2 linked regions of the Arabidopsis thaliana genome follow. The protein of the gene in region 1 interacts with the protein of each later gene in a pairwise test. Each region holds a gene or a part of one and is shown on either strand. Other genes may lie near its edges.

The links.
Region 2: the proteins of AT5G41800 (region 1) and EMB3135 interact in a protein complementation assay, tested with the Arabidopsis thaliana proteins (one large-scale study listed by BioGRID).

Annotation. Positions count from the first base shown.
Region 1 is NC_003076.8:16,731,140-16,737,232, reverse strand, and holds AT5G41800 (Transmembrane amino acid transporter family protein), read right to left. Parts: upstream 3,571-6,093; 5' UTR 3,392-3,570; coding exon 3,307-3,391; intron 3,236-3,306; coding exon 3,005-3,235; intron 2,733-3,004; coding exon 2,635-2,732; intron 2,545-2,634; coding exon 2,358-2,544; intron 2,273-2,357; coding exon 2,142-2,272; intron 2,061-2,141; coding exon 1,824-2,060; intron 1,735-1,823; coding exon 1,345-1,734; 3' UTR 1,140-1,344; downstream 1-1,139. Other genes in the region: CIP1 (COP1-interactive protein 1), read right to left, coding at 4,842-6,093.
Region 2 is NC_003076.8:3,829,357-3,834,472, reverse strand, and holds EMB3135 (harpin-induced protein), read right to left. Parts: upstream 2,974-5,116; 5' UTR 2,704-2,973; coding exon 1,840-2,703; 3' UTR 1,322-1,839; downstream 1-1,321. Other genes in the region: AT5G11900 (Translation initiation factor SUI1 family protein), read right to left, coding at 172-319; AT5G11880 (Pyridoxal-dependent decarboxylase family protein), read left to right, coding at 4,531-5,033.

The sequences.
Region 1 (6,093 bases):
TTCTCTTAAAGAAAATGGCCATTTCTATCTTGAATGGATGAATTACTTTTGCCATTAGGAAAAAAACTTTTACTGACTTACACACATGTGTCTAAAACAATTAACACAAAACGAGTTAGGTTCTGTATGTTGACTATTCGTGCTCGTTCCTAAATTCCTAATCCTAACACGTAAACCTTAGAAATAGTATTTAACAAATACTATCGCTGATACATCACATGATAAATCATTAATTTGATCTTGTCCCCACATATATTTATTTTTTTCATTTATGATGAAGATCCTCAAATCATACTCTCAATATAATATATATTTACAGAAAATGGCCAAAAGATACTATATGAATACAAACCTTTATATATAATTAGGTGAGTATCTGCACTATGCGCGAGCTTTTTTCGGTATTTTTTTGTTCCTCATGATTTGTTTTTAGTTGTTATATTGAAATGCTATTAAAAAATAGTACCTTGTTATTGTGTCTATATTTTATTTTTAAATTTACTATATATCCATTTATTTTGTTGTTGCTAGATTACCTTGATCCTAAGTTCTTTACGTCCACATTGTTTTGCATTTCCATTTAGATTCTTAAGGTAATTTTTAATAATTAAAAAAAAAAAGAAGAAGAAGACAAAATGCAAATGAGATTGGAGTATCCGCTCCGAAATCCATGACCATAGTATGTGATAGTCTGGGCATTCGAATTTTGGATCGGATCAGATTAGATTAGGTCTGATAGAATCCGATTAGAATCCAAACAATTTTATGATTCTAATTTTTTTAGACTTAAATCGGTTTTTATTGATATTTTAGAATCCCAAGTGTATTCGAAACCAAAATATGTATGGTTTTAATTCTTATTTGGATTTGAATTATCCGATGAAATCCAAAATATCCGAATTATCCGATCAGAATTATCAAAATTATTTGAAATTTACTATATCAAATATGAAATTCTGAATTACACGATCCGAATTGAGCATAAAATTAATAATATGTAATGTATTATTTCGGATTGGTGGATATCCAATCGGTCCGAAACCGAACCAATCAGCTACGAATACTGAAAATTAACACACTCTGAGAGAGTTTACTGAACCCAGTAATCTGTTTAGTGTTTATACCCAAAGGAACTTTGTATTTAAATAGAAAATCATTTAACAAAAAAAACATATTCATCTCAAGAACAATTGACGTAAGTGTGATAATCCTTGTCTGGTTTTGCATTTTGTAACTAGTTTGGTTTTGCATTTTGTGTGATAATGAATCAACTCGAGAAATTCATGTACAAGTGTAACCACAAAACAAGTATTGTTTATGTTTTTATCACACTATCAAAACCATCTAATCAACAACTTCACTGCTAAACAACTTGAACTTATTAGCATCAAGAACAAGTTTCCTAATGGAGGAGAAAGCTCCCATGAGTCCTGCACAAGTGAACACAACCATTATCGTCATGTTTATCCAATACGTGAAGCTCCGTCTGGTTGGCTTATAGGTCATGTTGTATAGAAGCATTGGCAGCACGAAATCGAGTGGGATAAACCCAAACGCTCCTACCACCGCGTTTATATCCCCAAAGAACGGTAGCATCGCTGCCATGAACCCGCAAAACGCCATATATAGTGTTCTTAGTATCAAACGCGGCACAAGGTTGCGTTTTGAGAATATCCCTTTTGTTGTATCCGCTGATTTCTTCTCCATTATTTCATACGCAACTTGAGAATACACCTAACCAGTTACCAAAAAAAAGAAACATTTAGTCACTCGTCTCACAGCCAAGTAACATCGAATAACGATCACACTAGTTATAAACTTACAAGGCCAATGGCGAAAAGCTGAAGAAGGACAAAGATGACAGCTAAGCCAATCACCACGATAGGAGCCAGAGTCGGTCCTTCATCAGGCATTAAGTTCTTGAGGATATTAGAGCTCGAATTGTTACCAAAAACCCAATATCCCGAAATTGCAGCAGAGTAAAACGTGAAGAAGATCACACTATAACACAACAATAGTCCTTTCAACATCTTCCCTGTGGCTGGTGGAGCAAGAGTTGCCTGCATACATATAATCATCTCATAAATCTCAAACACATAACATACAATGTTTGTATTGAATAAATTGCAAACATTTCTCACCTGTATTTCGGGTAAGATTCCATTTCCGAAAATAGCAGCTATGATCGAAATTGATGTGAAGGCACTAAAAACTTTCCCTGAATCCGAATGCTCTAGAGAATACTCACGTTTAGGAGCGTTTTTCGACAAACCTGTAGAACCAAAACTGGGCAATGAATCTAAATTTTCGAACATTAGTAAGTTGTTGTTTCTTCGCTAACGTAAGAATCATTATACCTAGGTTGATACAAGCCCCAACGACGAGGAAAGTATATCCTAAGCTGAGAAGCAGAGACGCACAGTTAATGTGTCTAAGAGAGTGAAAACTTGGAAGCTGTGAGAGAACCATCATCACAACAGTCACCATAGCAATGAACTCGTAAAGCTTCAACGTTCCTTGCGGGAAAAGACTCGAATACATTATCTGTGTAGTAACACAAAAACAGAGGATGATCCGTACGGTTCTTATAGTACCTTGTTTAACAAGTAATCAAAATTTAGGTTTCTTTCTTACATCAAGACATTGACCTGCAAGTAGAATGGCGCCAATACCAATTCCAGTGTTGATAGCTGTTTGAATAAAGATCACTACATAAAACATCAATCCAGATCCTGCACCACATCACAATAACCGGCTCAAAATTCGAAATCGGCCCTTAAACCCAAAACTCAATAACCGGAAAGACCAGACTTTATGACGTAAACCGATCTATAAACCGAAATACACAGGCCTAACCTAGACCGGTACGGTAAACTAAGACACGTGTGATGATGGCGAATCTAACAAGAAGTCAAAGTATCCAAATCGAAACACGATCCAACCTTTACGGATTTATCCAAAAAAAGCAAATTAATAAATACAAAGAAGAGATTTTGAATGATACCAAGAACATCGGCGGCGAGTTCCCGGAAACGGATGTGACGGCGGCCGGATTTTTCACAGTGATCAAGAACCTTAGACATGAGGTAATAAGCGTAGAAAGTAACGAGTCCCATCGTCGTTAAACAAACAAACCCTAACCACCATCCTAATCCTCTAAACGCATATGGTAATGTCAATATCGTCGGACCAACAATCGCCGTCGTTAGATGAAATCCGGCGTGCCACCACTCGCCTGAGAATTAATTCTCAAATCAGTTAAAATTCCAAAATTGGAGATTGATATCATAAATATATGGGTTTAACCTTTTGATTGGAGGACGAAGAGAGCACCGGCGTCGGAATCGAGTCGGGTAACAGGAAACGGGTCGGGTCTGGGAGGATCCGTCATCGATGAATTTTAGTGTGAAAGAGAAGAAGATTCTACAAGTGAATGATTTATATATGGAATGATGATGATGGAGAGCACGGTGGAGAGGTGGGCGCATGATAGCTGGTGATAGTTAATGTTTGCTATAATGTTAAATTCCGTTGCTTCTTTAAAGAAACAACCTGTCATAGTGAGAAAAGGAGACATATTTTGCATTTTCCTCTTTATTCGGGATGTGATAAAATTTTGCTTTTTTCAGATTCCTATCATTAAATTAAAAAATTAGTTTTATGATTCCTATTTTCATACATTTCCACTTGTACTTTACTTGTGCTTCTTTGCATGTTTCAGATTTTTTTTTGTAAAAATAAAAATATTAAATTGACAAAACAAGGTTTTGAAATTACTTTTTGATATTTTATTTAGAAATTTTCAGTAATGTATTGTTTGTAAATAAGGAAACAAATTTTAAGAGTTTTTTTTTTGTTGGAATAATCCAATATGATTTATATGAATATCTATCACATAATTTTAGATTTAATGTATCTTGGTGAATTAATCAGATAATAAAGTAATTGGGAATTATAACGTGTTAGACTCTTTTCAAATTTTAAGGTCAAAGTATAATCACTGTCTGATTTTAGAGGAGAAAGTAGTGTGTTTCCATAAACTCATAAAAGTGAATAGAGTTTCTATTTAAAATTTAATAATTTAAGATATTGCCAAATTGTACTTAATTTTCAATTAACTTCGATTTAGGAAATATCAACTAGTTATGGAATTTTTTCTCAAATATTTGATTGATCTAACATCACCAAACCTTACTGGCTGACTTATTTTGTGTATCATTCACATGGCTGACTTTTTCGGTTGTGAAAAACACTTGAAAAAAAAGTGGTTGCTATTAAAGAATAAACATTTCAAACATTTCAAACTAGTTCACATTAGAAATTCAAGGCGAGATATAACGACTGCTAATGCAAAAAAAAAAAACCCAATAAAATAAGAAATGAATGAGAGAACGAAACTCTGTAAAGCGATGTGTATAATTTTGTTATGAAAGAGCAAAGATGATACTATAACAAATTCCAAACAAGCAAAAGCACTATACCAACAGTAGCATTTAATCGTTCTATACAATCCGACGCCCAAAGAAAAAAAAATATCAACTCCATTTGTGTGAGCCCCTTTATTCCCTGACCTCCCATAAAAACCACCACCAACTTTGCCCACAATAAACCAAAAATTTTGACTTACAAAATACAACAAAAGTTAACAAACATATAAAAGTGCAACAAAATCGAACACAAGTACACCAAAAGTCCCCAACCAAAAATACCTCTCCACCAGCTTCTTGATTGACCAGAGTCCAAAACCTAATAAACACATATATGTTGTTTCATTGTTTGCATTCATGTGAGGTGGAAACTAGGCTTGGGAAAGATAAACAACGTACCATGGCACTGAGTCCTTAAGTTCGCTGCGACACTCTTCTTTGGCCTCGAGCCACAACGGTCTTAGACAAAACCTCCTCAAGATATTCACAACGACTTCTATGGTGATCGATCCAAACACATAATTGCCTTATCGCTTCTCTTTTCTCTTCTCCAAGTCCCATCAAAGTCTCTTTCATCATCTCCTTCTCTTTTTCATCTTCTCTTACTTTTCCTCCAAGCTTTTTTATTTCTTCATCTTTCTTCTCTATCTCTTTATTCATCTTCTCCTTCTCGTGATTTCTCTCTATCACCCAATTCGTCGCAGTCCACAGTATTTTTGATGCCTCCATTACAGTTTTCTCGTATCTCCCCTGTTTCTCCGTGAGTTTTTCTGACATGGATTGAAACCCATCTACTGTTATGTTCACTTTATCTGCTATCTCTTTGATCATACCTCGATAAGTCTCATGTGTCATGGTGAGATTCTTCTCAAGCAATGCTTGCTCCTCTAAGTGCTTAGCCTCTTCTTTCCTGAAAGCTTCTTCTTTCTCTGTTAGTACCTGTTCGGTTACTCTCAGTTTCTGGTTCGACAAGCGTAGCTTAACCTCGATGTTACTGATCTTCTCCATGAGAGTTTCGATCTCGTCTCCTTTCATTTCCAGCTCGTTACGTAAACTCTCCATCGTCTCTTCATGAACCCCAATTGTAGAATCTCTGGATGTCACTTCCTTACCCCTCTCCTCCAACAATCTTTGAGCTTCTTTGTAATCCACAGTTACCTTATTTAGTGTTGCTTCAGTTTCTTTAAATAGTTCGTTTATCTGCTTGTGTTCCTCTTCCAGCGTATTGTAAGCAGCTTCTTGCTCTACCAATGCTTTCTGGACATCGGTGATCTGATTCGACAATTCTGATTTCTCTTGCTTCTCTCTCTCAAGCTCTGCTTCGGTTTCGCTCTTCTGCACCTGTAGAGAATCAAGCTCATTCTTCAGATTGTTGATCAGTTCTGTTAAGGCCATTATTTCAGAAGACGCTACGTTGATCTTATCGTGCATTTGAACATTCTCTTCTTTCTTAGTTCTCAGCTCCTCATCAAGCTCACTTCTCTGTTTCCCTAGAGTCTCTAACTCAAGTTCACGACCCTTAATCTTCTCAGATAAACCATTTATTTCTTCTAGAATACTCTCGTGAACTTTAACCTTGTTTATGATCTCCTCTTTTAGATTTGTAATCTGACTCAGATATTCAGATATCTCCTCGGACTTCTTTTCAAGTTGGATCTCGAGTTCT
Region 2 (5,116 bases), about 13 Mb from region 1:
ATTGAACAGACCCATAAATTTATAATTCAAGTTAAAACAAAAATCTTCATCTTTTCGATTGTGTGAATCGCTTAGCCCTTGGAAGAATAAAAAATTTGAGGCACTACAAACCTAAAATCAAACGAGTTCTGAAGAACGGTCGAAAATTATAAGATTAGGGTTTGAAGGTACCTTTGAGGAGATCAGGATAGAGATCTGGGGCGTTTTCGACGAGCCAGGGCTTACATCTAGCGAAATCGGGACCGAATTCGCAGTATTCCGCTGGAAGAGAGCAAACTCCGCAGTACAAAACCTTCACCGGCTCAAGCTTCTCTGCCATAGATAATAATCCGAAGAAGTTGTTCCCTTTGGAAAAGCGAAAAATGAGACTCTTGTTTATCAAAGTGATGAGGGAGAGAATATGGATTCTACGGCGGAATAATCCTTTTCGTTTTTTTCTTCTGTTAGTCGCTTTTTTTCTTCTGTTAGTCGCTTGCCCCCGCGAAGTTAATGATGTCGGAAAACCAAACAGTGAAGAAAAGTGAAAAAGGCTTAGGACATGTGTTGGGCTTCTAATTTCATTGCCAAACGACTAATCTTTTTGATATTTTGGGTAAATGGGTTCTATTTGGGCCTCGGTTTTTTACTATCATCTTCTTCGATTATGGGCTATTTTCACAAAATCTAAGAGATATGCCATAGTTATTCTTGAAATACATTGCCAAATATTTTCATTAAAGGTCTCAGAAAGTCAGAATTATACTATGCATGTCTTCTTCTATCACGTCCGTGTATGCAAGTCTTCTTTACCCATTTTATTGTCTTGTCTTTCTTTTTGGTTTGTACTTTACTTTGTACTGGATATCCGGTCACCGACTCAAATATATGCCGACGTTGGAGGTCATGCACTAAATTAGATATGATGACTTATTGTCATTTCCAAATTATTCATTTACGTCATAAACCAAACTACAAGTTTTTCTTTTTCAGTCACACCTCATACGTTATTGTCAACTTTTTTTCCTGCGGTTCTTCTTTGCCGTTTCGGGTAATGCCATTTGTCCCTTGGGCAGATTCCTTTTCCTCATTTTTGGACACACCGACATGAAGTCGTCGTCCATAGTTGGATAAGATTTCAGGAGTCTATCCCTGGTCGGAGTCACTTGCAAATGACCTCTTCAAACTTTTACTTACTTAGTTAATAAAAAGTTTCTTAGATAAATGAACCATATAATTCATCTTTTATGACAGCATGACATTTAATTTAATGTTTATATCAAACCATATTCATGAATTGAGTGATCGATCTGTATTAATTTTATAACATGCAACTGCTAGAATATATGCTTGCTTTATAGAGTACTAAAGACGATTCACGTTTCTCTTAAATGGTGTTGTATAATGCGATAGATGGTTCAACATCTAACATTTAACACATCTCTCGTGTTCTTCATTGTTCTCCTCACAAACCCCACGCATCTTTTCCATTTTTAAGGTTCTGTTTATTACTACTACGATCTCACTTTAATGCTCACTATCACGCAGTCACTGCAATCTCCAGCTTTTTAGTACTCCATTCGTTACAAGTATTACATTTATATTTCTGTATCCATTAAATATAAATTCAAGTAAGAAAGTTCCAAACAAAACAAAAATCCAAGAAATTTTTTTAGAAGCCGTGAATTCTCTGGCCTTCTTCTACTTGACAATACCTTATCTCTCTGACTCTTCTCTGAAATTTTTTAACTAACAACTGAAGAAATCTCCTTTTGGATCATTCCAAAAGTTTCACAAAATCCAGAAGAAAAAAAGAAGAAGATTATATAGAAAATTTCAATTGTGAAATTATCAAAATTCCCTCTAGAAACTCCATTTCCAGACCTTGACACTAAGATCAGACTTACACTTAGTTTTTTTAGAAGTAGCTACAATTGGAGTTTTACCTTTTGGTATAGTTCCTTCAAATCCTTCACATGTCACTTTGATCTCTACTCCTTCACTCTTCAGCTTCCCCATTATCATCTTCACTTTAGTTCTCATCTCGATCTCATATCCTACACGCGCGCGCGTCAGATCTGATCTCAGATGCTTAGCTTCATCCGGATCTAACTCACGCGCCGCTGTAGACGTAGCGATCACGCCGTGAAACGAAGTTTTGTTACCGTTATCGCTGAAGAAAGCAGGAACAGTTCCGTTACCGAGCATCGTACCGGATTTAGCTGAATTAACGGTGACGGTGAAAGGATCGTAAGAGAAAGAGAGGTGTTGGTTTGGATTCTCTGAGATTAGAGTGAAGTTGAAGAAGGAAGAGAGATGAGAGACGGAGGAATCAGAGGAGGTTGTTAGGTTCACGCGGCTGATTCTTATTGACGGGACGGAGAACGACGGCGGACGAGGGTGGTAGATCACGTACATCGCGGTGGCGGCGATTGCAGTCATGAGAGCTAAGATCAGAATTATCAGAATCGACCAGAAACAGCAACAACAGCAAATTCGTCGGCAGCTTGGTCGAGATTGGTGGTGATGACGGCGACTGTAAGGCTGTGGACGGTAAACCGGACGGTTAGCTGGAATGTAGACTTGAGGTTTCTGATTAGCCATTCCGTTTGTTGTTCCGTTGCTGGTTACAGTCGCCGGAGCTGGAGGAGGTGGTATGGAACCAACTGGTGGAGCTCCATTAGTGGCGGTTGGTGGTTTGGAAGCTGGGAAGACTCGGTCAGTCATCTTCTTCTTCTCCGGTTGTTTCTTTCTCTCTGGTCAGATCTGAGCTCACAAAAGAGAGAGAGATAGTGAGAGAGAAAGAGACAATACAGAGTTTTTGTGGAATCTTAATAGCTTTTTTTTCTGAGTTTATTTATTTATTGCTTTTTAATAATTTGTTTTTTTTTCGGTTTTCAGTTTTTCTTAGATTTTTGTGAATGTTCATGACTTCCATGCCAAGTCTGTGGAATCTTTTTATTGGGTGGTAAAATAATTAATGTAAGCTGATTTATTACTTACAAAGTGGCCCCATTTATTTCTGAAAAAATTATTTACACGTGTAGTATTTTAGTAACGAGTAATACTAAGATGTGTCCTGTGTACTCAAATTTTTCTTGTTTTCAGAATTTAGTAATTCACAATAGAGTATAATGTAATCAAATGAAGAAGAAGAATGGGCAAAAAAGAGTAACAATTAAAGATGTAATTAAATATCAAAATGACGGAAATAATAATCCACCGACACATATAGTGATAGTGGTAGTAGTTCACTAAAGTGTGCACGCAATTGAAATAAGTTTGAATTTAAGTCAGTGCAGGTTAAAAAAAGAGGAAATAATTAAATGAGTGCAGATATTGGAGTATTAATAGATTAGGGATCCGAAATTAAAAATATAATTAGAATAATCTCGATTTGGTTCAGACTTCAGAGAGTAAATCCCAAGTCAATAATTATTTCATCGGCAATGCTGCTCTGCTTTGAATTTTGTTAATAACCTTTGCTTCCGAGCTCTCAATTCCCAAGATTTAGCGTGATTAATAATTCAAGAGCTCTCTAACTATGTAGTATAGTTACCAATTATCACCCGGTCAAGTGTCCACACCATAAAGTCTTTAAAAAAATAAAAATAAATAACACTCAAGATCGATCACATTTCATTAAAAGATAACTGCATTACAGAGAAGCATTGTCGGAAACATCCACAAGTGGTTCCAACCAGCAAGGTACATAAACATCAACAATGGAAACATAAAGGGCAAAACATTGAGCCTACTTCACCAAACCATAAAAGTGTCTAGACATCCCAATAACTTATGGTAAAGTTTGTTTTTAACGTCTTACAGTCAAACACCTAAATATACATCCCACAACCATCGACATGAATGCAATTACATACATAGTCAGAGATTATATAGTATGACGAGAGAAGCAAAGTTGTAAGAATAAAACAAATCCTAACTTACAAAGGAGGCAGAGCACAAATAACCAGAAGCAATGGTTGCCAAACAAAACAAATCCTAACTAAGAACATTCCTTGCTCTTTGTAATAGATATAGATAATTAAGAGAGTATGATAAGCATAACTTCAACAAATGTGGATTCTAAAACATAACTTCTCCACAACGTGCACGGCTAGATAGAGCACTTCATCGTTAGCATTCAACAAAATGTTTTACATTATCCTCTGAATATCCGCATAATACGAACAAATAGAAGTATTGGTAGGTGATGAGAAATGGCAAATTTTTATAGATAGGGCTAGATTTCCATGACTGCTTTAGGTGACCCCTTAAGCATCAAGATTATTACAACACACAACTAACACAACCGAACAAAACAAACACTAGCAGAAACTATCCCCCAAGGACAAAAACCATATCCAAAAGAAGTTAAAATCGACTTTGTTCTTTCTTCTTTTAACCATCGGTTCGACTATAACCACCGGTTCGATATTGTCGGATATCTAAAACCGGACCCGACAGGAACTACTCTTAAACTTGTTGACTTTTTTTTTCTAAACCCTTCAGTGTTACTGTAACAGTCGCACACCTAACAAAAATCCTCCAGCCATGGCGGCAGTTACTCAATTTCTCTCCCAACCTTCATCAATCCGCGGAACCCTAAATCAGTACCAATTGAATCAGACTTCACTCTCAAGAATCCCATTTTTGTCTCTCAAGTCAACATTGAAGCCACTTAAACGCCTCTCCGTCAAAGCCGCCGTTTCCCAAAACTCCACCAAAACCCTCACGAAAGAATCTGCTTCCTCTTTCGACCACTGTTTCAAGAAATCATCAGATGGGTTTCTCTATTGCGAAGGAACCAAGGTTCAAGATATCATGGAAACAGTCGAGAAACGACCCTTTTACTTATATAGCAAACCTCAGATCACGAGAAACCTTGAGGCTTATAAAGAGGCTTTGGAAGGAGTGAGATCTGTTATTGGTTACGCTATTAAAGCTAATAACAATCTCAAGATTTTGGAGCATTTGAGGAGTTTGGGCTGTGGTGCTGTGTTGGTTAGTGGAAATGAGCTCAGGCTTGCTCTTCTTGCTGGTTTCGATCCCACAAAGTACGATTCTTTATCCCCAATAATAAAGTTTGAATATTTTTTTATTTGGTCTCATGTTGATGTGTAGTTTTTGACCATGTCTT